Linked DNA regions of Saccharomyces cerevisiae S288C. The gene in region 2 interacts genetically with the main gene of each other region. Each region holds a gene or a part of one and is shown on either strand. Other genes may lie near its edges. The genes, in order: HOM3, MOT3, GCR2 and NAP1.

The links.
Region 1: mutations in MOT3 (region 2) and HOM3 together harm fitness more than expected from each alone (negative genetic interaction), as found in Saccharomyces cerevisiae (3 studies listed by BioGRID).
Region 3: mutations in MOT3 (region 2) and GCR2 together harm fitness more than expected from each alone (negative genetic interaction), as found in Saccharomyces cerevisiae (3 studies listed by BioGRID).
Region 4: mutations in MOT3 (region 2) and NAP1 together harm fitness more than expected from each alone (negative genetic interaction), as found in Saccharomyces cerevisiae (3 studies listed by BioGRID).

The regions. Positions count from the first base shown.
Region 1 is NC_001137.3:254,377-261,858, forward strand, and holds HOM3 (aspartate kinase), read right to left. Parts: upstream 3,583-7,482; coding exon 1,999-3,582; downstream 1-1,998. Other genes in the region: mitochondrial 37S ribosomal protein bS18m RSM18, read right to left, coding at 1-11; JHD1 ([Histone H3]-lysine-36 demethylase), read left to right, coding at 280-1,758; PIC2 (Cu/Pi carrier), read right to left, coding at 4,361-5,263; YER053C-A (uncharacterized protein), read right to left, coding at 6,557-6,670. UniProt on the Saccharomyces cerevisiae protein: Phosphorylates aspartate, the first step in the biosynthesis of amino acids that derive from aspartate (the aspartate family of amino acids), including methioinine and threonine, the latter of which is a precursor to isoleucine.
Region 2 is NC_001145.3:403,755-411,348, reverse strand, and holds MOT3 (Mot3p), read right to left. Parts: upstream 2,196-7,594; coding exon 723-2,195; downstream 1-722. Other genes in the region: TVP18 (Tvp18p), read left to right, coding at 84-587; NAT4 (N-terminal L-serine N(alpha)-acetyltransferase NatD), read right to left, coding at 2,783-3,640; AVO2 (Avo2p), read right to left, coding at 3,765-5,045; UBX4 (Ubx4p), read left to right, coding at 5,776-7,026; SOV1 (Sov1p), read right to left, coding at 7,112-7,594. UniProt on the Saccharomyces cerevisiae protein: Transcription factor that affects the expression of a large set of genes. Recognizes and binds to the consensus sequence 5'-[CAT]AGG[TC]A-3' in the promoter region. Plays a major role in the repression of a specific subset of hypoxic genes (e.g.
Region 3 is NC_001146.8:264,426-272,178, forward strand, and holds GCR2 (Gcr2p), read right to left. Parts: upstream 2,106-7,753; coding exon 501-2,105; downstream 1-500. Other genes in the region: NNR1 (NADHX epimerase), read right to left, coding at 1-28; mRNA-binding protein WHI3, read right to left, coding at 3,183-5,168; SLZ1 (Slz1p), read right to left, coding at 5,850-6,746; YNL195C (uncharacterized protein), read right to left, coding at 7,098-7,753. UniProt on the Saccharomyces cerevisiae protein: Transcriptional activator required for the expression of glycolytic genes. Enhances the CT box-dependent transcriptional activation of a RAP1-GCR1 complex. Required for GCR1 phosphorylation.
Region 4 is NC_001143.9:523,135-530,574, reverse strand, and holds NAP1 (histone chaperone NAP1), read left to right. Parts: upstream 1-3,934; coding exon 3,935-5,188; downstream 5,189-7,440. Other genes in the region: TRK2 (Trk2p), read right to left, coding at 91-2,760; FMP46 (putative redox protein), read left to right, coding at 3,344-3,745; PLN1 (Pln1p), read left to right, coding at 5,501-6,352; YKR045C (uncharacterized protein), read left to right, coding at 6,606-7,157; UIP5 (Uip5p), read right to left, coding at 7,229-7,440. UniProt on the Saccharomyces cerevisiae protein: Acidic protein, which assembles histones into an octamer (in vitro). Involved in the regulation of the localization and the function of the septins during mitosis. Involved in the function of B-type cyclins.

The DNA.
Region 1 (7,482 bases), on a different chromosome or scaffold from region 2:
ATAGGTTGCATACCGTTTTGAATTTTTATGCCTGTGGTGGCATTCATCTTGAACATCCGAAGTTTTGTGTAGAACCTTGCCTTTTTGGTTAGAACTGTAACACTGTTAATAATGGACTCATATTTAAGTATGTAAAGTAATCCTAGATATTTTTTCCCCCAACAGGTTACCCTACAATGCAATTTAAAGGCATAATAGAACATCTAATAGAAGTGGGTGATTATAATGAGTAAGAAGACGTAATGATCATAAAACAAAATACTAATAAGCTATGGTGCAATGCAAGATCCCAATATTTGCCAGCATTGCCAGTTGAAGGATAATCCAGGCGCATTAATTTGGGTGAAGTGTGATAGTTGCCCGCAGTGGGTCCACGTGAAATGCGTGCCTTTGAAACGCATTCACTATTCAAATCTTACAAGTTCTGAAGTTCTGTCTTATCCAAATTCTGCGAAGCAAATCAAGAGCTACCGTTGTCCTAATCATAAGGAAGGAGAATATCTTACCGCATACGCTCTCATCACACAAAAAGGAAAGCGGCAAAGGAATAAAGAAAACCCTGAAGATAGTCATATAAATAAGCGGTATAATTTCAGAAAGAAGAAATTACTTGACTATATCGCTTTGAATGAGGGTGAATCGAAAAGGGATAAAATGAATCACCCTCATAAGGAGAGTTTCATGAAATCTTTTGAAAAATGGAAAAATGGCTCAAATATTATAAACGCCGCTGACTTTGCTGAAAAGTTTGATAATATAGATGTGCCGTACAAGATCATCGATCCACTGAATAGCGGAGTATATGTACCGAATGTGGGCACAGACAATGGATGCCTCACAGTTAATTATATCACCGAAATGATAGGCGAGGATTATCATGTTGATGTAATGGACGTTCAATCACAAATGAATGAAAATTGGAACTTGGGATCTTGGAATGAATATTTTACAAATACTGAACCAGACAGGAGGGATCGAATAAGGAATGTTATATCATTAGAAGTCTCTAATATTGAGGGATTAGAACTAGAGAGGCCCACTGCAGTTAGGCAGAATGATCTTGTTGATAAAATTTGGAGTTTCAATGGACATTTAGAAAAAGTCAATGGGGAGAAGGCGGAGGAGAATGACCCCAAGCCAAAAGTGACCAAATATATTTTGATGTCTGTAAAGGATGCTTATACGGATTTTCATTTGGATTTTGCCGGTACCTCTGTTTATTATAACGTTATCTCAGGACAGAAGAAGTTTTTATTATTTCCACCTACCCAATCAAACATAGATAAGTATATTGAGTGGTCTTTAAAAGAAGACCAAAATAGTGTTTTCCTCGGTGATATTCTTGAGGATGGTATTGCGATGGAATTAGATGCTGGTGATTTGTTTATGATTCCAGCTGGATATATTCATGCAGTTTATACACCAGTAGACTCTTTGGTATTTGGAGGCAACTTTTTAACCATCCGTGATTTGGAGACACACCTTAAAATTGTGGAAATTGAAAAGTTAACAAAGGTTCCTAGAAGATTTACCTTCCCGAAGTTTGATCAAGTGATGGGTAAATTATGCGAGTATCTTGCGCTTGATAAAAATAAAATCACTAGTGATGTCAGTGATGGGGATTTGCTTTCCAGGACCACTAATTGCGCAATTCAATCACTTCATGCATACGTTATAAAACCTGAAGTTAAGTACAAGCCGTTAAATTTCACTTCAAAGAAGCATTTAGCGAAAGCTTTAGCCGATCTTATTTCGTAAAATTTCTTCTTGTCCGCCACGTTCTTGTATCTTTTATTTCATCCTATGCTCTCGATGAATGAGATCTACTTTAGCAATTGATACAGTATAACCCTGACATTACATTTAGGGAATAATCGCCCCAATATAGGTTACAAAACATTAATATATATGTAAATATATGTGCGCGTATATATATATATATATATATATAAAGGGAAAATTAATATTCTATCATTAAAGTGAAGAAGAAAGGTGGATTTAAATTCCAAGTCTTTTCAATTGTTCTAAACGTTCATCAATGGCATGTTCAAATTGGTTTGAAGTATTTGTCCGCTCACTTAGTAACTTGGCATGAATACATTGTAGCGCTTTTATGGAGTCAGATTCATTGATAACGCAGGATATGTTTATTTCATTTGCCCCTTGAGAAATCATTTCAATGTTGATGCCTTCTTCAGCAAGAGTAGTAAACATGGTACCAGCAATGCCGATGTATTGTTTCATATGTTTACCAACTAATGAAACAATAGACAACTTCTTTGTGATATCAACAGAACCTAAAATTCTCAATTTTTCCTCAGCTTGTCTCAGAGATTTTAATGAGTCTGCATCTGGAATGGGCAAAGCCATCGAAACATGAACTTCAGAAGTAGATATTAAATCTACGACTAACTTGTACTTATCCAGGATGGTAAATATTTGAGCTAGGAAACCATGGGATAGGGTTTTCTTATTGGAATGAATGTTGATGACGAAAATGTCATTTTTGGTGGTGATAGCAGTGGCACCTCTCTTTCTCTTTTCATAGAAAGATGAGGATAAGTTCTCAGGAGGATGTGGTGGAGTAGATTCACCCTTCTTTGCTACATTATCTGGGTAGATAATGGTACCGTTACCTAATGGATTTTGAACATTCTTGATTCTAATAGGAATCTTAGCCCTAATAACTTGTTCCATCGTAAAAGGATGTATAACTTCGGAACCATAATATGTTAATTCAGAAGCTTCTTCTGGAGTAACACTGTCTAGCAAACGTGCTTCAGGAACCTTACGAGGATCAGCAGTAAATATACCATCAACTTCCTTCCAAACTTGTAGTTCATCAGCATTTACAGCAACTGCTATCAAAGCGGCACATAAATCGGTATAGCCACGACCAACACCATTCAGAAGACCAGTTGGAACTAAACCAAAAAACCCTGTAAAGACTGGAACGATACGCTCTTTAGCACTTACAAAGGGGGCCAATTTTTCTTTCAATGCTTGAACCAGGAAAGTGTAGAAACTGTTATCCAAAGCGCTGGCACTGAAATCAGAGGGAACAATGTGGCTCAAATCCACATATTTGGCCTTACAGCCACGGTCATTACATAAAGCAGTCATGAACAAACAACTCAACTTCTCACCACATGACATCACCAGATCTACTGTACGTGAACTCACTTCACCCAAAACTTTTGAAGCATTTAAATATTTCTTGACCAGTTCAAGTTCTTTATTGGTATCATCCACTAACTTGGCTTGCAAGGCAGGATTGAGAATGAAGCGGTCGGCATTATCGATATGGTCTTGTCTGATAACTTCGATAATGTCTTGAAATTCAGATTCTTGCGAAGCCAAATCACAACATTTCAAAAGACGAGAAGTGGTACCTTCAGCCTTGGTGTATGAAGAACGGGCGGAACAAACGACAGCGACATTATTGTTTGGGCCGTCAGGTTTAGAATAGTGCTTCACAATGTCATCCACTATTTGGACGGGAAATTTACCGACAGATGTACCACCGAACTTTTGCACGACCCAGTTCGAATGACTTGATGTAGGTTGGAAATCCATTGGCATGTAAAAGTTAAAAAAAATGAAAGCTTCTGTGATAAAATGCGATAGCTATGTGAGCTTAAGCGATGGAGAGAGTATTGGCTACACAAATATCCTTCAATGAGTAGAGCACTGTTAAAATAGAAATAAAATAATTATCCAGCAGTATTCTTATATATGGATATTATACATTATTTCTTCGAAGCTAAAAGAATCTCTGGAGAAGACTGCGTACGGAAAGTGAAAAAAAAAAAAAGTGATGATGAAATTTTCGTTTGCTAGTGAAAAAGAAAGAAAAGGTGAGTCATGGGCCTGAAAAATACACGTGGTTAGAGCCACAGTAGAGTAAAAAGTTGATATTAGGGGAGTTCTAGAAAGAAAAGGATCCTGTGAGACCAATGACAGTGATTGTAAATTGTGGGAGTGATATTTGATGTTACTATCAAATAAGGCCTCAGCCTCTGAATATGTTCACCTAAAAATTGTAGAAGATTCAATCGCGAGCGGCTGGCAAGTTTGGGCATGCATCGAGTATTGCCGTATATCGAAACTACCTTATAAATGTGTTTCTGATATGGCACTTTCAAAGTTTTCCTGGGCCTGTTCTTGGCTTGAGAAATTTGGCAATCATAACAAAACTCTTAGTATGAAAAGAAATTGTAGGACGAATATTTATTAAGACATATGCAAAGAAGAACAAACTATAAATGCCGGTCATTTACTAACTTTATGAAATCCTGTGTATACAATATTCCTCTAGCACAGAGTGTTTACGATAAACCTTGCCGATTGAATCGATCAGCTAACCGGTGGTTGGTAAGCCTACATAAGCCTTGAACGAATCGTAAATTAGCCATTGGAAACTTGTCAAAGTACCGATCATGACAATTCTCACCATTAACCCATTCCACAACCCAGTAAAGCCAATTTTTTGATATATTCTTTTAGAGGCTACAGACATGGACTCGTTGGCCTTTCTTTCGCTATTGATCTTGGAAACCATAACGTCTGCAGGATGTGAGACTGCAGCACATAATATACCTGCCAGATAACCACCTACAAAACTGACTGATATTTGCTGTAATGCGTTCATTTCTTCTTTCTTTTTAGGTAAAACACTGTATATTTTTTGAACAATTTTTTCGAATGAGGTAAACTTACACATTGTGTAAGGAATCTGTCTGCACCATAGGGGAACAATACCTTTATAAAATGCTTTCATACCTCCACTTTCTGCATACATTTTTTTCCATCCATCAACAACGTTATTGCAAAAGGGCGGCATAGTAGTCTGCTGTTTCACTTTAATAGCTTCAAATGGGCACAACATGATATCAGCGAGGAATTCAGCGGTCGCTGAGGCCATCAAGTACACAGTGACACCAGGACTTAACCAACTAGAATACAAATGCTTGAAATACTCATAACCACCATACTTACCTGCACCTTGTAGCGAATATCCGACGAATGTAGCACCAAACCCAGTGTATACTTTCTTCCAGCCTTCATTAGCTATAATCTTACGGAACCCTTGTAAGTTTGAAGTATACAACTTGGGATTGACCTGTAGCCTACATTTGACAAGATCTAGTGGAGTGATCGAAGAATGTGTTGGACCGCACGCAATTATACCACCTAAGGTACATGTGGCATAAAACTCTTTCGTATATAATTGGATTTTACGTGGTTGTTTATTGGACTCCATGCTTTACAACTGTCAATGAGTCCGTTCTCTTTTTCCCTTACTTTATTTTTTTAGAATTAAAACAATAACAGAACACTTTCAGTTAACAATGTGTCATTGACTGCCTGGAAAAAAAAATAAAATATCTATAAAACACAAGCAAAATGAAAGTATATTTGGTAGGTCCCGCTGTATTTATATCAAATGTAACAGGGTATGCAGAAAATCGATATATCCATTTTCCTTTTTATTAAGCAAAATGAAACTAAAAACAAGGAATAAACCTAAAAAAGATCTCCTTATTTCGCTAATACCCCTGAAGTCCAACTTTTGGTTAGCCGAGATCTTAGCCGAATGAGATTGTGAAATGCAACCCAAAGTGACCGTTGTTGCTAGCTAGCATATGAATGAATCTAAGAACTGGAAAGGCAAGTTAAGGGCCAAAAATAATGACTTGAATATTTTGCAGTATCTACGTTGAATTAAAGTATTCTTCGTAAGCGGTACTTTTCACTTGCTACTTGTCACCTTATTACCTATGTGCTGAGAGGGTAATGGTACGATGTTCCTTTTTGACACAATGCGTCTTTTCCCTATGCTGTAACAAAAAAAACAAAGGCCGAGGTTCGGATTTCTTAGCAGATCACGTGCTGACTTTTTGGAATACACCGTTAAAATTCTCACACGGTTAGTATTTACATTTTTTCAAGAATAGGGTTTTGCCGCTTACCTTGATATGCGGGCGATTTTGCGGGATTTCTGACATCTAATAACTTAGTAGTCATTGAAGGAACAAAGTTTTAGTCTTATTCGGATGTTTCCCTTCTTATTTTCGAAATGAAGCTTTTTGGAGAGATGGGGATAGGTGGCTTTTTGTGCCTTCCTCGAATGTCTAGCCGAGTCTTGCGATGGAAGGGCTAGACAGCATGTTTTAGAGATGTAGTAAGTTATATTATAATCATATTATAATTGCCTAAATATAGACGTATATCATATACAATAGCAAAAATACATAATTACGAACATAAAAATGAAAATAACTTTGGTCAAACAGCGTGAGCTGTCAAACGTATAAATCTTAAAAAACGTGTATTAAGTATGAGCTAAGAAGGCGCTCATCAATAGAAAACCGGATTAAAAACATCGAAAATTATTGAAAAAATATTAAGTGTAGTGTGGAAATGAATGAGTAGAAAAAAGATAAATTAGAAAACAGAACATCAACTTCGTAAATAGTAAAACGCTAAGCCAGACTAGGTAGAACTGACTTTGCATACCTCTCTTGGCGGCAGTAAGCAGATTAGCTGATTTAAATCACTGCAAGTAAGGAACATCGCTCTTGTTTCTGTTCATGACTGTTCTATGAGCACCAAAGTAGAAAACGAAAATGAAAGCGAAAATACTCAAAAAAATCTCTAAATCTTGCATTGTAGTGTGTACTGTGTAGTAAAGCTATTGTTTGTTTTTATTATTTCTATGTAGAATTCTGTAAAAGGACGAAAAGAATGTTTCCAAGCAGTATGTCTACCTCTGTCGTTGTAGAAGGGATTCCTACTTCTTTATATACAAAATGCACATCGGTAGAAATATCTAATTCTCTATTTAATTGAATGCATAAGGGGTACCAAAAAATCTCTCTTCACGTCTTATAGCTGAACAGTTATCGGATATAGGCTACCACATAAAAGAACAGGGATGTCCTAATACAGCAATCATTTTTTTTTTCATTACGTAAAAAGTAAAGTAAACCATCCATTCTCCCTTCTTTCAGTCAAATGCCGCAGTCCCTTACATTTCAAACTGAAGCGTCGGGATGAGACTGTAGAAAGAAGTAGGAGTAGTATGCAAAAAAAAAAAAAAAAAAAAAATATAACCTCTGCCGGAAGTGAAGGCACAAAAATAGCTCTCTCTAAATGGGCGGTGGAAGGGTGTTCAAAAGTAAAGAAATATAGGCGCACTTCTGAAGTCATCGTAGGTGAATAAGCAAGTCTTTATCGGCATGTTCGGGGTTTTTTTTACCAATGACGATTTCTGTCACTTAACTTTTTAGGCCTTCCGTGGTCGTGTCATAGCAACCCCTAGTTTTCTCTTCACATTTTGTCGCGTTTCCGTCGCACAGTAAGAGCTGTATAGCGTTGAATGAATGTAAAAAATGCTCACTGAAGGACGGTAGCCTTTACCAGTCTTTTACGTGCCGAATGCACATTTGTATATACGCCCACACACATCGAAGATCGGCT
Region 2 (7,594 bases):
TCCAGAATTCCCCTACTAGTGAAGTGGGATTGTAGGTCACCAGGAGAAGAGCAATAACAACTAAAATATACTAGTTTTCAATAATGGCTTTAAGTTTAGGACAGTTCATCAATGTGGGTGGTATGGTGAAGGATTTGAAAAGTTTCAACTTTAGCGTATATGGTAGATGGTTTGGATATATCAACATAATCTTGTGTATTGCACTCGGGATAGCGAATCTGTTCCACGTTAGTGGGGTGATAGCTTTTGGTATCATTAGTATAATCCAAGGGTTAGTGATCCTATTCATTGAAATACCATTTTTGTTGAAAATCTGTCCCCTTAGCGATAATTTCATTGAATTCATCAAGAGATTTGAAACAAATGGATGGAGATGTCTTTTCTATCTAGCAATGGCGATAATCCAGTATATTTCCATTGCAGTGATGGCTACGAGTCTAATTGTGGTAGCTGTCGGGCTAACGATATCGTCAATCAGTTATGCGGTAGCATATACTAAACACCAAGAGTTCCAGAATACGAACATTATCAAAAATCCTACAGATGACGATTTCCCTCACGAGGCCGTTGTTAGAGAGATGTTGTAATCAGTTCCGTACCATACATAAACTATATGTATATAATGTATATATGCATAATTACTTTCTAAATTTGTGATTATTACTATTATCTTGATTGTTAAATGAGTGGGAAGGGATATTTTGTGTGTCTATAAAGTCTATCTATTTGTTGTGACTAACAATAAGGTTATTCAAAACACGTTTAACGTCGTCCTTATTCAGTACACCATCATTGATTAAAGTCTTGATGTTTGTATCGTAACCGTTTCCATCTTCATTTTCGGGAGCTGTTGCTGCTGCCGCCGCGGCACCGGCACCGCCACTGCCGCTAGCGCTATTGCTGTTATTATTATTATTATTGTCGTTGTTATTATTAGAGGAGGAAGAATTGTTGTAGTTAAAGATGATGTTGTTTTTCTTGAGTTCGTCTAATAAATAATTTGTATGCTTGAGTTTCATATGCTGTAAAAGATTATCTTTTCTCTTCTGCCTGCTTAAGCACCAAGGGCATAGAAAATGTCTTTGTTGCGAGTGTGACAATAGGTGCCTTTTCAACCATGATTTTCTTTTGAAAGACTTCTCACAAAATTGGCATTGATGGATATATTTATGGTCTGATGATGGGGCAGGAACCAAGTTCGAGGCCACAGGGTTCGAAGAAGGCACCGGCGCAGGGGGATGGTTAGGTGCTGTCGTAGGACGTGGTTGCGGCATAGTGTTTATTTTCCAACCAGGAGGTAGATGCAGAGGTTGTGCCGGGTTAATATTGAGATTCAAATTTGGAGAAGGGTTTTGTTGTAGTTGGAATTGAAATTGATCCGTTATTATCGTTGGATGGTGCTGAGGAGCGTTGTTTGTATTTACAGCACCACCATTGTTGAGGTTGTTGTGTGTATTACTATGATGGTGATGGTGATGGGGTGGACCGGGGGCCGGGGCTGGGGCTGAGTGAGAAGAGTTGTTGCTGCCATTGTTAGCGGCGTTATTACCATTGTTATTGCTGTTAACTGCTGAATAGTAATGGCTTATGTATGAAGCAGGATTGAACATATATTGTTGATCCTGTTGCGGTATTGGCATATTCGCAGTGGGGAAGGAGTAATAAGCAGCCGCTGCAGCATTTGAGTTCATATTTGCGGCCGCAGTAAACTGGTTTGGGTGAATATTATTGTTATTATTGTTGTTATTATTATTATTATTGTTATTATTGCTAGTACTGTTGTTTGCGACAGTGTAATCAGAAGCAGAAATATTGCTGTTGTTGCTGTTGTTGCTGTTGTTATGGACAATCGGCGACGCAGACATATTGTTACCAGCCGTCACATTATTGTTGTTACTGTTATTACTTGTATACTGATAGTAAGGGTATATATACTGCTGCTGATGTAAGGGCATTGGAAGTTCTCTTGCCCCAGAGTTCACCATAACGTCGTCCTTGTTAGAGGAAACAGTAGTCGTGTTGAAAGGCTGTGACGCCAGCGAATCGCTGCCGATATTGTTAGTGTTCGACACATTTTGTAATATCGTGTGCTGCTGCTGTTGATGCTGATGCTGATGCTGTTGTTGTTGATGCTGTTGTTGTTGATGCTGTTGTCGCTGTTGCTGCTGCTGTTGCAGGTGATGGTCCGCATTCATTGCTCAAATATGATATGTCCCTTTACTATTTGCCTACTGTTGCCTATTAGTTTTCCTTCTGTTAAATCTTTTCTTGTACCTGTTCCTTCTTGAGGAATTGTTTTGTTCAAGTTTTCTTCCAAAAAAAATTCCTTTTTTTTCTTTTTTTTTTTGATTGCTACAAGGCCTTAATTCCTATTATTTGTTTCTATTTTTTCTCTCTTTTTTCGTAATTCTTCTTTAACTTTACATCAAAAGAGAGACAAAGTTTAGTAAATCCAGACGGAGTAGTAGTATAAATACTATCCAGCGCAGATCATGACAGGATGATGCGCCTTGGTAGGATAAAAAAAAACAACAGCGGAGGCTACAGCACATCTTTTGAGGAAAAAAAAGAAGAAAATCAAGAAGAAAAACGAAAAAACCGGCAATAAACACCGTTATCGCCACTACTCCTTGCCGTGCGCAGTTATCGGAAGGCGCCGAAGGCGGAGAGCAGGGAGCGTTGTTCGGGTCTCCTCAGTCGGAGTCAAGGATTCGAGTCGCGCCGCCGCGTACGTAGTTTTACTTTTAATTTTTTTTTTATCGCGCGTTGTCCCTGTCGGCTTTCACGGCATGTGAAGGCAATATACGTAATAAAGCGGATCGCAGGGCACGACTACACGTCCCCCACCATGTCGCGTGTGACGAATTGTGGGTGATGCTGGTGCGGGTGATCCCGGAGCGCGGTAGAACCCAAGCGCCTCATATAGTCGCCGGGCCCGAGTGTTATCACTGAATACGGTGAGTGCTACACCGAAGAAATTGTCGCACATGCGGCGGGTGTGTCGAGCTACGCCATCGCACAGTGCATGCTCCAGTAGCCGCCGACCGATTCCATGCCCGCGGTGCGCGCTAGCTACATGTACTTCGTAAAGGTATATCACGGGCACGCTAACCTCGTGTAAAGCGTCACCTTCGACGAGACCCGTCTCCTCTGTAAGCATGAATGAAGTAAATGCACCTAGCACGCCGTTGTCCCAGTAACAGACATACACAAGGCCGGCGCTTTTCATCTCTGCGAGTTTGTTTGCCTTCCATGGTTTCCTGTTGCCGTACATAATGCGCGAGGCCCGGCGATACTTGGCGCCCAGGTGCTTGTCTATCAATTGCACACAGGCGTCCAGCACTTGGTCGCCGCGAGATTTGTGCAGCTTGTAGTTTATACACTTGAGGCTGTCAACGCTGTCAATACTGTCAGTGTCATCTTCGGGGATGTAGATAATCTCCCTTTCTAAAATAGCGGTGGTGAAGTTACCGTTTCCATCTGTATCCTTGTGCTCGATGGATTCAGGAAATTTTTCCACGCATAAGTTTAAGAAATGTTGGAACATTGGCGCCATGGCGACCCTCCTTCTTTCTGTTAGGTGCTCCTTCGATGTTCGTATACAGTTGTAAGTGTTCTCACTATATACCGAAGAACGCATCTCAGTGGAAAGAAAAAGAAAAAAGAAAAAGAGCTAAGAAAAAAATCTTTTAATGGCGCGCGCGCACCGCGCATACATATGTGGAAAAAAGGATGCATATAAAAAAAAATACGTAGTAGTCTTCTCAATCTTCTGCACGCGTGTTATTGCTATTTCTTAATTTTGAGATGGGTATGTTCAGAAGTGACACTCGTCTCCTCGGCTCGCCATTGTTTACCTTAATCTTGTACTTGTTCTCGTTCTCATCGTCCGGGTCCTTTCTTAGTCCCATTCCTATAGTGGCATCACCGCCATTGCCGCCGCCACCGTCATCGTTGATTGTAGCTGTCTGTGAGTCTCCTCTCACGTTGTCATTGCTCTTGTTAGGCAACAAGTATCTATTAATCAACGCGATGTTGTTGTGCGGACTTGTTGGTGTTGCACTGTGTCGTACTGATTCAGATACAAGCTCTTTCTTGGGCGACACACCTACTGGAGTCTTGACGTTGATGGAGTTCACTCTTAGTCTCGAGCTGGAATTTGAGCTTGACGAAAAACTGTCCGTAGACAAGGTTGGTTTTCGTGGGTTGAATACTGGATTTGTGATAGAACTCCTCCGATTCCCACCGTTACCGCTTGTTGTATGCGTTGATATCCTTCTTGGTAATACCGGCAACGGACTATTATTGGAATAGAGCGAATATGGCGAATTCATGCTTAAAACTGGGGAAGGCCCGTCCTCGAAAGTGGCCTTCGCATTTAGTATAGGAGTTCTGAATGAACTTGGTTTTTTGCCTGCACCCAACGGTGGCCCCTTCTTTTTCACCTCTTTTAACACTTTTGAATATATATTACCTACTTCAAACGTTTGTGCTACATCTATTGGCTTCCAATTTCCCTTGTCCCTGACATTATCATCCAAGGACACCTCACCTTCATTGAGAAGCATCTTCATACAACTTATACTGCCATACTCCAGGCATACATGCAGCGGCGTGTCGCCATTAGTGTCCATTACCCATAAATCAGCACCAACTCCTATCAACAGACTCAGACATTGGTAGTAATCGTTCATACATGCTATATGGATGGGGGCTCTACCATTCTCTCCGCGATGGTTGATAAATCGCGGAAATTGTTGCAAAAGTAAATGTAAGGTTTGCTCGTGCCCTTTCATTAATGCTAAATGCACACAGGTGTTTCCTTTAAAGGTTTTTATTAGTTCATGCTTGTCGTGCCCCAGCTGAATTAAATACACGCATATAAGGTATCTTCCATGGTATGAGGCGTAATGTAATGAACTCCATCCGTTCTCTGAGTCTATGTTGGTTAGCAAATCCGGATTCCGTCGCAATAATCTTTTCACTATAAGTAAATTGCCTTCAATAATAGCCTCCCGCAAGCGAACTGAGGGCTCTTTCAACATCTTTTGTTCAATATATCCTCTTTTCTAATGGGCGTTTTTTTTTTTTATTTTTAGGGTCCAGTTGATTTATACATTTTCAATTGTACCAGATCAAAAAAGTCTAGAGGAAAAAAACGTAATTAAGACAGAAGAAAAAAAGTATCAACTCCGGAATAACCGGGCCGCAAGAGAAATCAAACAATTAGTTGCACGAACATTTTTATCAGGAATAAGCAGGTAAGGGTAGGTATAAAGGTCAGCTCAGTACACGTATATCGTGTGAGTTATCTTTATTAAAATAATGATTCCAGAATAAGCGATGAGAGAGTAACGCTATTGGAATATGATATGGGAAATATCTTGAAACAATTTCAATAATTTGTCCATGTTTATGCAGTGTTGTACAAGCGTTTTTAAAGAAACTGTATAATATTCAAGATAGCGGGCGCCTCAACCGCTGTTTTGCTCCTCTTTTCTCTTGGAACTCTTGCCAAGAAAGATGTACGCCTTATAAAACGCTAGATGCTATTTCTTGCAACTTTATTACAAAATTTCAGCACTATTTCTTGCAATCCTAGATGTTTCCCTGTCTTCTATCTTCGATGTTAATTTAGACGTTTCTTCAAAGATTCAAGTTCTCTTTTATTGTACTATGTGTGGCAAAAAAAAAAGAAAACCAAAAAATGCAAAAACTAAGATAAATCTACGTACTGCGAAGAATAGCAAGGCAGACTAATAAGCGCACAATACAATGCCTATGGTTACCGTGAAGTATAACTTCCAACTTTTCAAATGTAAAGTTTCGTTGAATTCAACACTAAACGATGTGTTACACCAATCCATACAATTCTTTCAACTGCACACCTCGTCAAACGACTGGTCATTGATACATTTGGATAAACCGGTGCCATTAGATTTGCCATGGAGGCTTCTAAACTTACCAACGGGTGTCAACTTAGAATTATCTAAAAGTAGTAATTTTCCGGTGGCGAATAAGACCAACCGCGAAGATATTCCATTCAATACGATCAAAATACGGTTTCAAATCCCAGGAAGAGATTCCGTGGTTAAAGAAATGCCATCTGACCAACCAATTGCCCCTATCTTGCGACAGATGAGCGGCGCTGCGGGAGATGATTTTAAGATCCAGGTCTTTTCCAAGATAATAGAGTTCAAAACAATTAAGGATGAGAATTTGACTCTCGAAAATTTAGGGATTCAGGAGCCTTCGTCAGTTAGATTGATTTTTAATAATACATCTCATTCTGAGGGCATTAGCGCTAATAGCGCTATTCACCCAAAACAAACTCCCCCTACGATGACGAACCCGGAAACGGTTGCTTCACTACCACCTCACGAACTACATAAACCTTCTGTGTTTTTGCCCTCGGATGAGCCATTAGCAGTTATCAAGGATCAAATCGAGGATGAAGAAGATTATGAATTGACAGTAGAACAAGCCAAGAAATACCAAAAAATGTTATCATCGAAGGCTGGTACTTTGGGTGGTCCTATTTTGACAAAGAGACTTAGAGAGCAATCAGCCAACAACTTGCCAAAGAAAAATAAGGCTATATCTGAGTGTTTGCTGAGAGTCAAGTTCCCCGATAGAAGCCATATTCAAATAGCATTCAAACCCAATGAAGACATGCGTACAGTTTATAACGTCGTGTCGCAGTTCCTGATCGATGAGAACATGCCTTTTACGTTAAACCAATCTCATCCTTTCAAACCCTTGGCTAAAGACGATAAGAAGCTACTGGATGACCTGGAATTTGGCTCTAAAACAATGCTGCTTTTTGAAACAAATTCAAATTCTAATGGCCCATTAATAAAGGCTCATCTTTTGGAAGACGCACAAAAAATCACACACGAAACGAGGACAACCCCATCAGTTAATACGATAAATAAATCCAATCCACAGGGCCCTTCTGATAACGCTACAAGTATCAAAAAGACTTTAAATAGAGTACCTAAATGGATGAAATTAAGTAAAAAATAAATACAAAGCTAAACAGTCTCCTCTTTTAACTTTATTACAAATATGTACACGTATAGCTAAAATTATATAAAATGCATCCGTTTTTTTAGGCTTTTATCTTTAACTTATTTACATCTTCTATTAATTCTTCGAGTAAAGTAAACTCTGTTCCTAATTCTTTAAAAGCATCTTCTACCATCAAGAAAGTAGAACAATCACTTTTTTCCTTCCATTTTATAAAGATCAAAATCTCCCTGATCAAATGGGATATTGTATTCTCTTGATTTGTACCCTGTGGAATGTTTTTTAAGATTGACTCATTATTCATTAGCTCCGCCTTCCGTAACTTGTACTCACAAGCATCTTTACTGATGTTACTAATATCTCGTAAATATTGTCTTTTCAAACCCTTTAGAATATACATACTCAAATCGTAATCAATATTCAAGTCAAATTTTTTCGTTAGAAACGTTAATATGGCAGGTATTGCTTCTAAATCCCCGCTTTTCATGAACGTGGACACAATTAATTTAGAAAAAGTTTTGTCTGGCAAAATTTCACCATTTTCTGCCGTCATTTGGAACAATAC
Region 3 (7,753 bases), on a different chromosome or scaffold from region 2:
TTGATGAAACAACTTTCAACGTAGACATTTTTACCTTACAATGATTTCTCTTTAATACCTGAGATTGGTGTGTTGAAATGAAAATATGTGTTGGCCCAGCAACAGACAATAATATAAGCAAGGATCCTGGTCGTTTGATATTCTTCTTGAGTTTTTTTCTTATATATGAACGTATGTGTATATATTCACCATCCCTATTGTCTCCACCCCTTGTTCGCTCGTAGCGACGGAAACAATCAAATAAGAGGACCCACGGTAAAAGTAGCGTAAATTTTACGGTTCTGCTGCAAAATAAAGAAACCCATTTTGTATCCTTTACATCAGGAATAACGTAAAAAGAATTATCATTAGTTCGTAGTTATATAATAACGTCTGTTCATTATAAAAGAGTACAAGAAACAGTAAGATAGTAAACGTCACTGTTAAATAGTTAATTATACCGCCAATCTACACCAGAAAATTAAAAGAGAAAGCAATATATGTTAAACATTATTATCGTGTCATCTTTGTAAATCCCTTAACATACTTCTAACACAACCCATGTCTTCAATTAACATTTTCCTTAACCACTGCGTCTCTTGGCGCTGTAATTCCAATTCTCTTTCTAATTGCACAATTCTTTGGCCTTTTTCAGAAATGATTGCGTCATAAGCTTCTTTCAATGGGCGTATCACGGCTTCTGTATCTATAGGTCCCATGCTGTTTGAAGGATTTAAATCAACTTTCATTTGGGTGTTATTCGCGTTTAAATTAGTGTCCGGACCATCATTTATTAACGCACCCTCTGCTGCAGTTGTCATCGGCCTCTGCCTCTTACTCGTATTTGTCAGTTGCAAAAGTTCTTCCACCGCTTCGTCATCCAGCGTATTAACATCTAACGATCCCAGTGACCTTCGTTTCCACGAATGGGATCCATTATTGGACATTGTATTATAGCCCATGGTATTACTGGAAGCATTGGGGTTCAGATCTGCATGACTCAAACCAAATTCAAATCCTCCTGAGCCAGGACTGGTTGGCTGTGTATAATATCCTGTCAACGAACGAGAATTGACATCTTGTGATAGCGTTTGCAGTCGTTTTTGTAACTGTTGAGACAATGATGGATCAAAAAGCATATTGGTACCTGGGTTGCTTATTGTTGTATTACTGAATGCACTCGTATCTGTAATGCCGTTTCTCTCTTTATTACTATTTTTATTGTTTTTCCCATTTTTAGCATTTTTAGCCACCCTGGTGCCTCTTTTTTTCGTTCGGTTGTTTGGCATGTTTTTATTTCCATAGTTCTTAATATTACTCCCATTTCCAATATTACCATTGTTCCCATTATTGTTCCCGTTGTTTATTCCCTGTAAATCTGATGGGGAGCCTTTAGTTGATGTATTTAAGGAGTTTCCCTTCCTGCGTCCTTGAGTTAGAATTTGGCCGGTCTGAGGATCGAATACTGTAAATATGCTCATTGAGACTAATCGCCACAATTCATCGTTTTCTAATTCTGAGTCTGTCTTTATTTGCCAAAGCCTTCCATCCAACCGGCGGAAGTATTTTGCGTAAGGACTTGCGTCAAAACTCAGCTCTAGTTCCTTAATCATCTGTTGAAATCTTTGATATAGTTCGATTGCCGATTTTGGTGATGTTGATCTATCGTCAATTGACCCAGATGATAGTGTAGCGTTATATAGTTTTGATATTTTGGCGAAAAGTTGAGAATATTGCGCTTGCGTATATATTCCATTTGAGGTGGCACTAGAGCTCGCATTATTACCAGTAGTGGCAGGATTGCTTGCATTGCTAATGGCTGAGGTAGAACTTGAATTACCATTCGGCGTACCATTAGCGCTATCTGAGTTGGTTTTCGTCAGAGCATTACTACCAGTGCTAGTTATAATCTCATCGATGTTAGGTGTGCTATCAGACCCCATCAACCCTGTTGGATTAGCTATCCCTGTTCCAACCGCCCCGTTAACCATACCTGAGGGCGTGTTCGTTGTCGTCTGTGGCGAGTTTGTAACACTCTGCAAGGAAGCACCACTAATGACAGACTCGTTAGACAGTAAATTATAAGCTCTGATTATGAATACATCTAACTTAGTTTGGTGATGCATTATGTGAGTGTAACTTTTCGTCAAATACTCTTTGTGTTCTCAGGTTCCTTTTTGGTTTCTTGGTTGTTTTCCCATTCAGTCTAGGCGTAAGAATGTGAAGAAAGTCAAATACAGACCGCAAGCACCTTATGGATGCGTTAATGATTATTATGTCTAACGGACAACTATCGCAGAAGTCGCGGTACTTGAAGGAGAAAAGTCGTGAAAATTTTATTTTGGACAAATTGTCCAAGAAAAATAAGAAATATGACGTTATTACCCGTATTGAGATTCCATTGAAAGACATTCATAAAATTGATCAGTTCGGTCATAAACAAAGTAGAACTTCGAAATATCAAATATGTTCTTGCCACTGGTAGCCCATATTTTTTTAATCTGCTCTTGTAGCATAGGGTTGAAAATATTACATTGAAGTCGATACCGATATATACTTCTATAAAAATGAGTTCTGGAATAAAAGTAAGGCTAATACATATATATAGTGGGAGAATATCCAAAGGCAGAGTTTTTTAAACAAGGAAAGAATAAAAGTTGGCAGCATAAAAAAAAGATATTCTCTCTTCAAAACATTTGTCGGATATGACCTCACCTAAGCACTTGGTGCTTTGATGACAATAATCACACTAAAGAGCGATATTCGATAGTGAGACTTTTCCCTCTCAATCTTATTCACATTAGCGCAAGCAAAATGGAATGAATGGCACATTAAAATTGAAAATAAAAGTTCTTGTTGTTGCAGAAGCGGTATAGGAGTTCGCAAAATGGTAGTTAAGAAAAAAGATGGCGGGTTTAATTCATAGTACAATTCAAATGTTAGACAGAAAAAGAAAAAATTTCTGTTATATGCACGTTGTAATGTAATAGTAAAAAGATAATTTAACGTAATTGAAGAGATAAAGTATTATCGATGTTATTCTTATTATTAGTCGGTTTAGAAAATATTATTATAACAAATAATAAAAGAAAAAGAAAAAATGCGACAGAAAATATTATTCTTATTATAGTGGGGGAAAGATGAAAAGCAATGCATATAATGTGATACATGCAAGGAAATCAGGTTTTTGCGGAACCATTTTTTTAGTTTTTTATATGACCAACATTAGAATTGTAACTGGAAAGCATATTTACATTAGGATTTGGGTTACCACTGCCTCCTCTTCTGCTGTTTGGGCCCCTAACACCCAGTGGGTTTTTTGAAAAGCTTAATCTGATACCTCCCTTACTGCTCACAGTGGAGCGAGGTAACTGTCTACCATACAATTCAGCTAACGCTCTGGTTGCAAAACTGACATCATCGAATTCAACGAAGCACATCGGTCCGTGACTATGACCATTAGATGTGGTATTCTTATTCCTGAATGATAGTCTTCTGAAGCCTTCTTGACCAGAAAATAGCTGTCTTAGTTCTTGCTCAGTAGCGTCGGAGGGTAAATTCCCTACATAAAGGGTATTACAAGGTGGATTTTGATCAGCAGGGTTGGCAGGAGGTGGAATTCTGGCTAGTAGTGACAAATCAGCCTGAGAAATCGAGGCAGATCCAGTAATATTTGAGGATAATGAGGTAGTAGAGTTATTCTTGTGTGAATTTCTACTTGAACTTAATCTTGCGGGCGGTACTTTTTGAGGAGTGTTACTTTGATTCACAGGATACATATGCTCTGGTTGGGGTTGTTGCATAAATCTGTTCTGTTTTTGAGGTGTAATGTTCATATCAGAGGTGTTTACCATATTTGAAATGTGCTGCGATTGAGAAGACATTAAACCGTATGGAGGCAATGAATTTGAAGAGGTTAGGGAAGTGTTAATCGTGTTACCAATTTGCATCATTGGTTGTTGCGAGCTGGCAGAGAGTGCCTGGTTAGCACCATTATTGCTGGCTCCATTGTTGGAGCTGGCGTTTGCATTGGCACTGGTGTTGCTATTCGTAGGTGCAATGGCTGTCGATGCTGCAGAGGGTAAAAAGAACGAAGAACCATGTTGGGATGCAGAAGTATTTCCCCATTCTAAAGTTGGCGTAGAAGGTTGGGGAGTGCTCATGTAACCGTTGATGCTGGAAGGTATACCGCTTGTGCCCCATATCTTTTCATTAATTTCAGTGTTATCTCTCAAAAGGAAAGATTTGCCAATATCAGATGTTTGAATTGTTGATTCCACAGACAAATCTTGATGTGAATGGTTAGAATGTAACCCAATAACCTGGCCTTGAGAAGATAACGGTATTGAAGAATTCACTTGTTGTTGATTACATTGTTGTGGTGAATGTTTTTGCGTAGAGTGTTGTTGTGGCTGTTGTGGCTGTTGCTGCTGCTGTTGAGATTGCTGTTGGCTTAAAGGAGAATCATTGGAAAATGGATCGCTGAATGAAAACCTGGATCTTTGTGATAACAGACTTGGCCTTTTCATTCCCGAGTTCGATTTATTCAATCTTGAGGTGTCATTGAAAATGGCAGATGATGGGAATGAAACCAAGTTTTTTGTTGTGTCATCTATTATTTCAACGGTTGTTTTATTGGGAAAACTGGGTCCAAAGAGTTCATTTTTCGAATTCAAAATAACGGCATAATTAATAGCTAGATTCAATAACTCAAATCTGGCAATGATAAAAATATCATTCTCGTCTTCTAATGAGGCAGAAGTGATGCTTGATGAAGAGTTTTTTTTCTGTAATTCTATACTTTTCACACCTTCAGCAAGAGCGAAGATTGCATAGCATTCTCTGAGAGTAATATCCTTGGCTACATTTGACAATTTTAGGCTGTAGCTCCCCTTAATGTTGTTATCGTGATTGCTAATGTTGCTGCTTGCAATGTCTTGGGGCATACTTCCAAGGGCAAGTGTGTTTAGCATAGAAGATATCGCTAAGGGTGAGTTTGTGTCATTCAAATACAACTCCCCACTTGCGCTTCCTCTACCCGACGCTTCGTGGGGATGAGAAGTAGTGTTCAGATTCAAACTGGAACGATGACTGGGAGAAATGTTGTGTGTGTTGGTGGTACTAGACACAACGTTGTCGCTACTGGACGCAAATGACCCTGTTTGGTCAAAATAAACTGAACTTTGCATGCTAAGAGATACAGGTTTTTCCCTCTGAAATATTGATCGATAAAGGCTGCTCTAGGTAAGTGACGCTTACAAATATTTGCAACTCACAGAAAAGTGATGACAAAGACTTTTAACTTGAAATGATATGATCAGTTGAGAAAAAGCTGGTGAAGCAAATGAAAAATACGGGAAGAAAACAGGAACAGAAGGTTTTCAAAGTACACGACTTATTTTCTCTTTAATGCTAATTGATTGAATAAAGAGAAGACAGAAAGGAAACTGACACGTAAAATATGTGGACGGAATAAACAACTGTGCGTGAGCAGCGTTTCAAAAGCCTTTTCTTTTTGGAGGTCTGTGCTTGTTTAAAGAAGGCAATTCAATCAGGTGGTTATACTTGTTTATTCCGGCTTACTTGGTCGTGTTTGTTTTTTCTTTTGACCTCTCATGTCCGAAAAGGTCCAAAACAACGAGAAAAAAAAGCAGCAATCAGTTACCCCATTTAACGCGGGTAACAATAACGATTGTTCTAAATAGAGCAGATATCCAATAGTTGAGAACATGAAGAAGGATGGCGATAGAATCAGTGCGAAGCAGTCTAAAGAAGTTCCTTTCCCTTTCCTTTCCTTTTATTTTGCTAATAGTATTTGATATAAAGATGAAATACTATAAGAAGTTTATAAATTTTTTAAATTAGAAAAGCTAAATAGCAGCTTGATCGCAACAAGTGGGGAATTCTGACCAGCGCGACGCTTGTTGCATGGTTATTCCTGCATCTGGGACTGGTTTTTCATCCATACACAATCTTTCAAGCCCGATGGTGACATTTTTGACCTTGTTTGAGTATTCCATCTCTTGCTGCAGTAGCTTTTTACCTCTCTCATGCAGACCATTAGATGATGCAGATATGTTAAGATCTTCGGTAATTAGCGCTACTGAATTGAAGGAGGTTATGTCGTTGTAGTTGATATTATATTTGGGATCAGGAACTGATGAGACCGTAGTCGCATTACTGGTCGTGCTGCAGTTTGACCAGCGTCGTTCCCAGGAGGTGAACTCCATGTCTTGAAGGACAAACTGACTATCTTTCGAGACGTCGAGGACGTTATCATTGAAAAGTTCCGTGAGTTGGACATTAAGAGGACTAGATGTTTGAATAGCCTGATCTATCATGATCTTGGACACGGTTTGATGGTCTATGTCAAAATCTAGTCCAGTCTGTGGTTTAGGTTTACCATTTTCAGCTGCTGTGTTCTGATTAATGGCTTCTGAATTCGGTTCTTTGAAACGAAATTCTTTTGCCAGTGATAATTTTTTCTGTTCTTTTAGCCTTTTGTCTTCTCTTTTGTAGTTTTCTTTTTCTACTTCTTTTGGCTTCTCTCTATCTTTTCTACTTGTATTTTTTTTTTTGTTTTTAGCCATTTTATCTAAGAACTTTTTCCTTTCTTCACCAAAAGCTCTCATTTTATCCTTTTCCCTCTTAGTATCTATTTGATCAACATTTCCACCTTTTGATTTATTTTTCTTTACTTGTCGATCTTTTGGTAGTTTCACTTCGTACTTTTTGTAACCGATGATTTGATCTACTTTATTCATCATAACAGTAATATATTATGTTTTTGATTTTTACTATACTGATTAAGGTAGAAAATGGGACGATCTTGCTTTTTGTGTCCTTTCATTGAAGCACTGTTATTTATACGGTCAACTGCAGCCGGGCATAATTTCGGCGGCTATTCATATTGTCATCCCCGCACTCCTTCTTTGACAGCACGCAAGCACATGGAGGCTGATAATGCCCTCCCATATTGTAATAGAATATATTTATGCAATAAAGAGAACGCAATAGCTGCATTTAACCAATAAAAAATTCGTTATGACAATAATATGTAGACAAGGATATAAAAGTATAAGGTTGGTTATAAATAAAAACTGTAGGAAAAACAAAAACTACTTATGCAAGACCTTATTCTCAGGGTGCGAAATACTATGATCAGTAGCGTTTAGAACGTTAGCCGAAGGATTAGTCTCATCCATAATTTGGTTTCTTGGGACATTGTGCCGATCACCCACACCGTAGGCGTAGGTTTCCTTTTCCTCAGTTTCCTGATTGAATGATGGAATACTTGCGGGATATCCCTGCACTTTAGTGGTGTAAGAAGAAGCAGAGACGCCGCTATTTTCTTCTCTCATCATTTTCTCATTGTACCTGTCTGAGGAAGCCGTTTGGGGGTCCATCATGTCTTGGTTGTTATTATCGGCACGGCGAGAAGAAACGCTGTTCCACGCGTCGATGTGATGAGGTTGACTTTGAGGTGAACCTGCACCGGGAACATGTTGGTCGATAGGCCCATTGAAGTGCGGATCAGAGGTGTCTTGACAACCAATCGGCACGTTCTTGCTGTTCATTCTTGCCTCGGTCATTTTACTACTATCAAAATTGGCTAGCGTAGACCTAGCGTTTTTGTTATAGTCACTGACCACTCTATTTGTGACTTTGCCACATCCCGGGATACCGATGCTACCGGCACCGGTGTTTAAAGTAGGGCCTGGGCATTCAGTTGGTAAAATTCCAGAGCGCTGTTCGTGAGACGAAGAGTGTCCGT
Region 4 (7,440 bases), on a different chromosome or scaffold from region 2:
TAAAGAATAATAAACTTCGGAGATAATACATATAATACTGAGAGAAAATTACGTTGGCTCTTATGTAGGTAAAGAGGGGTAAACTTGATTTTAATGCTTCCCCCAAAACTTTGTTGCTATTTTTTTCAGTTTGTGGGATCTCTTTTTGACGTAAGTAGTCATTGGATCCTCACCAACTTTGGCTAACAACTTACCCTTAGCTTTCATATCTTGTAAACGATCAATTTGTTCCAGTTTGTCACTTGGCAGCATGATGGCACGATCCAAAGTGTATGGTAAACCTCTATTTCTTCCTCTTATTAGCATGGCAATTATGACTAGCTTCGATAATACGGTGAACTGGGCAGATAGTGATGTGTTGGTGTTTGGGTAACCCAATGACAAACCCACTGTACCATAAGCGCTAACAACTTCAAACAATATAGCAAAGACATTGAAATCAGGTTTATTAACGTCTTCGATTTTTCTGCCCTCGCATATGCATATTATAAATAATCCAAGGAATAGGTACCATAAATCAAAAGAGAGTTGCCTCCTCAAATGAGCACCAACAAACGATTTTGGGGACTGTTTCTTCGGCTTGGACTTTGTAGATACAGTGTCTCGCTCTTCGGATTCGCCATCATGGTCTGTTTCCTTTATATCGTCTTCGTGGGTGATATTTTCGTCATCTTGTCCACTATCGTATAGTCCCAACGATTGCTCCTCATAAACATTCGTTCTTCTAATGGAAATCGCCAGCGGCAGGACCGAAACGTACATCATTAGCATATAAGACACCTGAATGGACGGGTGTAATTTACTTAAGTCAACAACGTTGAATCCAGCAGTTCTTGTGCATACAGACTGGAAGAGGCCCATGAGAGCTCGATAACCTTTAGCAACCTGCCTTACTACAGCGGAGTTGAAATCCAGAATTATGAAAAGAATCCAATCCGTAGCGTTTAAGACGACTAAAGTTGTAAACAGCCACCATGTGGGGCCGCTGGGGAACAGCAACGTAAAACACCTGCGCGGATGATCCAAGAGAAACCCAAGACTTTCCTTAAACTGAGATAGGTCTCTCGAGGTCTTGAACATGATCCAAATGATAAATCGTAACATAATTGGGAAGCCTGTATTGCCTATGATGATGAAGAACATCATGAAAATCAGCGGATACGGCGCAGTATCAAAGGAAACCATTGAATCAGCGGTCAAAGACAGACCCAAGTTGCTGAATGCACTCATTGCAGTGAAAAACCCCCACCAGGTTGGAGAAACTCCATTTCGTCTAATAATCTCTGAGTAGTGGTGCCTCGTACAGGCCCATGGAACGATGGTCACAAACGCCAAAATGTTGAATCCGATGTAGTATACCATGAGAATGCAGCACAGCAATCTCAAAGCACGATATTCGACACCGCCGAGTTCCTCCTTTTGTTGCTTTGTGAGTCCAATGAAGACGGAGTTTCTGCCAAAGGTTGGCTGCCACGATAGATAGTTGGTGCTCATTGTTCTGGTGAAGGGGTGGCCTATATCACCTTCACGTCGTTTTGGTTTGGGCGGGTGCGCTTGGAACTGTAAATTCAAAGACTCTTGCGGTGAAAAGCTCATCTCCTCATCAACAAAAGATGAAGGCGCCGACTTGGCCAAGTTTCTATGATTTTCAACTACTTGGCCTGAGGTTTTAGGACTCGGTGAAGCAGTATACGTTGGGATGTTACATGATTGCGTTCTAGATATTTTTTTCTTCTTGGTGACCATATATTTGTGAGGAGCACCGTCAAAGTAGTCATGGTCACCTTCATCTCTCCGCAAGCCAAGCAATTTCTGGAAACTTTTCGTCTGGGCTAGCTTGTTCAATTCCTGAGAAGATGGCAGGACAGAATGGCGTTTCAGTGAGCAGTGGGGGGCTCTTCTCTCATGACGTTCCTGCACAATGAAAGCGGGTCCATTGGTCTCGCTCGAAAAAGAATCCGTGGAGTTTGCGTTGCTCTTCTCTTGTTGTTTTTGTAGCATCATTATCGATTTGTAAATGTCTCTTGGGTCAACGTCTGAGGGTTGGCGCTTACTTGAGAAGTTTGGAGGCGAGCTTTGCGTGTCACTGGATTCCTCCTTAGAGGAGGAAACATTCAACGGTGAGATTGAGGACAATGCGGACGTGTCAGGAGAGTCCATCGGCACATCTGAAGCGGATTGTCGTGGGTCTTCTCTGGAAACAAACTTCCCACGGAACAGGTTGTCCTTGAAACTCCTACTTCGAGCGGCATTGCCACTGCTGCCCGATAGTTCCCTTTGTTGCAACGTCATGGTCCTTCTTAGTTTAAAATTCTGTTTGGAGATATCCCTAATGTTGTCGAAGTACCTTTCAAACCAATACAGCCTGACAAAGGCCAAAAACCCATGAATAAGTATAGGCGTGGACAGCAATGTAATGACGTACACCACTATCTGCTGGTACAGGTTGAAATCGTTAGTGCTCTTGGTGGCCAGCCCGCCCTGTGTAGACGCTCCAGCAGCCAGAAATAGCACATCGATGAACGCCGTGTTCTTGCACGGATATAACAGAATGGACCCGATAATCGACAGCGTGATCAGGTAGATATAGTGCACCACGATGAAGTTGGGGAAAACGTATTTAGCAATGGGTCTGCATGATTTTAAGAACCCGGAAATGAAGTCTCTTAGCCGATGGCCCCATGATTTCTTGTGCACCAACCGTAACTGGAAGGGCAGTGCCAACGAAGCCCTGGATGACGTCCTCTTAGCTGTTGGCATGAGTGGTTCTTACAGCCTCTTATCGTCGGTGAATAGTACAAAATAGCCTCTTTTCTCATCATCTGAAACCTAGTTATTCCAATATCATTTCTCTTTTTCAGCCGCACGGCCGAGGGGATTAGAAACGAAAATTCACATCTCATCCTATTCTTCGCAGGAGATCAAAAGTGAAAGAGAGAAACGGGAAACAACCATCTGAGCATGGCAGCTTGCATCAAATTATCAATCATCGTGTGATGTACCATGGCCTATTCAACGGCGGTACGCTTGTACTACAGGGCGCTTTCAGCGCATGCCGGGCACTCCCTTCTTTCTTCCGTCGTCTTGCATCTCTCTAATCCCGTCGCTATGCTCTGATATAACCGTTGCCAAAGTGTCAAGCTGTTGTGAAATTGTGCTGGAGGCATTGATGGTTCTTGAACTCTTCCTCTTTTTAGTCTGGCTTTAGCTTGATTGGGCACGGGCACTCAATGGACGGGGTATCCACCCAGCTTGGAAAGGGGCATATAAAACCAAAAGAGAACGTTAAGAAAAGTGCAAATGAAAATAACAGACCGGGAGATCGCAAACGCAAACGCAATAAATGTCGTTTTGGAAAACATTGCAGAGACAGCCACGTACCATCTCGTTGTTTACCAATGACATCGCGTCCAATATCAAGTCGCAGAAATGCCTGCAGTTGCTGAAGGGAGACGTCTCTCATCGATTCGACGTGGAAATCGCCAACCGCTTTCCCACGTGGGACCAGCTGCAATACATGAGAACTTCGTGCCCGCAAGGCCCAGTTTCGTTGCAAAGGCAGATTCCAAAGCTGGATTCAGTGCTCAAATACAAGCACACAGACCCGACGTTCGGGATGGACCTGCAGAAGTGTGTCCAGAGGGGACTTTGGAATCCAAAGGAGGCGCTTTGGGTCGACTGGGAAAACAAGTTGGTGGGAAATGAGCCCGCAGACATTGACAAGTACATCATTCAGCGCAAATAACACCTATATACCACTATATTGAACACATACATATTTTTATAACAATGGGCTATATCTTTTTTGTATTACCCGCGTAATTGGGAAAATTTTTCCTTTTAAATAGCAGCGTTTGGGATCAAAAATGGCAGTTTGATGGTAGATTAGGAGGATTTAGTGAGCCCAGTGGGACCAAGAGCAAAGCGCAAGATCATGTCAGACCCTATCAGAACGAAACCCAAGTCGTCGATGCAAATCGACAACGCCCCTACGCCTCACAATACCCCAGCATCGGTTCTGAATCCGAGCTATTTGAAAAACGGCAACCCAGTTAGGGCCCAGGCACAGGAGCAGGATGACAAGATCGGCACCATCAACGAGGAGGACATCTTGGCTAACCAACCCCTGTTGTTACAGTCCATCCAGGACAGACTTGGCTCGCTGGTGGGCCAGGACAGCGGGTATGTGGGGGGTCTTCCCAAGAACGTTAAGGAAAAGCTGCTGAGCTTGAAGACTTTACAAAGCGAGCTATTCGAAGTTGAAAAGGAATTTCAGGTGGAGATGTTTGAGCTAGAGAACAAGTTTCTGCAGAAGTACAAGCCCATTTGGGAGCAGCGGTCCAGGATCATTTCAGGACAAGAGCAACCCAAGCCGGAACAGATCGCAAAGGGCCAAGAGATTGTGGAGTCACTCAATGAGACGGAGTTGTTGGTGGACGAAGAAGAGAAGGCCCAAAATGATTCCGAGGAGGAACAGGTGAAGGGAATTCCCTCATTCTGGCTAACCGCATTAGAGAACTTGCCCATCGTTTGCGACACGATCACTGACCGCGATGCGGAAGTTCTGGAGTACCTGCAAGATATTGGTCTGGAATACTTGACGGATGGTAGACCCGGTTTCAAGCTGTTGTTCAGATTTGATTCTTCCGCCAACCCATTCTTCACCAACGACATTCTGTGCAAGACCTACTTCTACCAGAAGGAGCTCGGTTACTCCGGGGACTTTATCTACGACCACGCAGAAGGCTGCGAGATCAGTTGGAAGGACAACGCCCACAACGTCACTGTGGACCTAGAAATGCGCAAGCAGAGAAACAAGACCACCAAGCAGGTGAGGACCATCGAGAAGATCACTCCCATAGAATCCTTTTTCAACTTCTTCGACCCTCCCAAGATCCAAAACGAAGACCAAGACGAGGAGTTGGAGGAAGACCTCGAGGAACGTCTAGCTTTAGACTACTCCATCGGGGAACAACTTAAGGACAAGCTAATTCCTAGAGCCGTGGACTGGTTTACCGGCGCAGCCTTGGAATTCGAGTTCGAGGAGGACGAAGAAGAAGCGGACGAGGACGAAGACGAAGAAGAAGATGATGATCACGGCTTGGAGGATGACGACGGGGAATCTGCCGAAGAGCAAGACGATTTTGCTGGCAGGCCGGAACAGGCTCCTGAATGCAAGCAGTCATAATCCCAACGCACTTCGCAAGAGTGGTCATAACCGTATTCATATATTTATATACATATGTATACATACATATATAGATATATATATGTATATACATGTAAGTGTGTAAGCTGAAATATATGTTAAAGCGCATGTAACTAAGACGACAATAATAATAATAATAATGATAATAATAGCCTAGATTTTCTCCGCCGTGGGGGATGATCGTATTCTTTCGGATTTAATAATATAGCAGCAAGGGTTATAAAAGGAAAGATAACGGAATGTATCGGTAATCATTAACCATCACTCACTCTCCAGAACCGTAGCGTAATTATGTCTGAATCATCTATTTCTTCTTCTAAACCATCTGTGGAATTGCCACAAGCAACCTGGTCGCATCTGCAAAGATACCCAGCTTTATCCAAGTTTATTAAATATGCGGAATCTCTGCCACCTGTGGAGAGATTGATTTCCTTCAACCTCGTTGTTTTGGGATCTGTGAACCAGTGGGTTTCCGAATCGTCCAGCTCTCCTCGTCTGGTGAAGCAAGTTGTTGCTGCTGGGAAGGAAGGGGCCTTCAAGTTGGACGAGTTAGTTAACCTCTTGGTGTTCAAGGAGGGTGTCGACGGCTTGCTGTACAATTGGAAATCACATTCCAACACGCCAGGGATCTGGCTGGTGTGGTTCTTCGTCGACTACGTCGCCAACATTTCTAATACTCTGTTGAGGGAGTTCCTGATCAAGCCATTGCACTTGCAAGGTTCTACCGCATCGAAGGAGATCGGCTCTTCCGGTGAGGAGAACAAGGTCACTGATGCTTCTTCTTTGCCCCACGTGGCAGAGTTGTCTTCAACGACCAGAGGTATGTCGCAGGAGATCCAGTCCAAGGTCAAGTCGAACTATATCGACCCAACCAAGGACCTGGCTAAAGAAAAGTACGACGCCATAGTGAAGCCCACAACTGACAAGTTGCAGTCTGTGTACATCGACCCAACAAAGACTAAGCTTAACGAAACCTACCAACGCTTCACCACTGTCTATGAAAACAATCTAAGTAAATCTGAAAGCGTCCCTAAAGCCATTGTATCCACCGGGTTGGACTTGGGCAATGCCACCATTGAGAAGCTAAAGGCCTCAAGAGAAGACCAAACCAATTCTAAGCCCGCGGCTGTGTCGACCAATTAGTAATTTGGTTTTGCGCTAATCGTGCGCCTGATTTTTTTTCCTGCCACTCTTATATAGTTATTTGTTATTATTCTATTATTTCATCTATTGTTTGCTAGCTATTATGTACGTTGCTGTTTGAGCACTATATACAATTGAATACCAAAGAAAAAATTATAAAAACGAAAAAAAAAAAAAAAAAAAAAAATTTGGTTATAGCTCGATCAAGAGACAATAAAAGTGAATATACATGGTGCCAAGGGAAAGTCCTAGCATGTCAAACAGTCATCATACATCCCAGGGAAGAAGAAACAAACTTTCAGTGTGGGTTAAAAAAATAATAAACACCACTACCACAACTAACGCATCGGTCTCGAGCAGTAAACCAAGACGCGGCACTAGGGCTGGCCCCACAAGAGTTAAGCGTGCTGAGTTGGATCCGGATGGAACAACCATCAGTTCGTCGTTGCGACCATTGGTTGATCGAAATTCGTTGCATTCGAGCGAATCCGATGACGAAGGAGACCGTCGAGTGGCATGGGATGAACCACCAACAGGCAAAGTAAGACAGCAGCAGCAGCAACAGCAGCAACAACAAAACGACAACGCAAGTGTTATTCCGCTAGTATCGTTTTGTTCCTCGTCAGTGAAGTCGTCTACTTTCTCGGACATTCATTCAATACAGTCTACGAGGCCCACAATATTCTCTAACAGGACGTTTGAGACGAATTCTAGCGTTCTGGCCATCCCACCACAGAGTATATTGGATCGATCAAGAACCCTCCCGCCGTCGAACGCAAGTAACACTACCACAAGAAGACCGTGAATTGGCTACCTAAGATGAACGTCCTATATTGTATTATTTGTGTATGTATGTATGTGCGTGCCTATGCAATGCTACATGGGCAATAGCCCCACAGAATGCGAGCCTGCCCTTTTTCTTCTGGATCTAATTTTTTTGAACCTTCTTTGGAAAACTCTTATGCAAGCAGAAAAAAGATAAATGCCCATGATCAATAGCAAAATCTCGCTATAATGCCATATGGTCAGCACGACCTTGAACAACCGAGAGTGAGGATTGTTTGAAGTTTTCTGTTCAGCTGACTGTG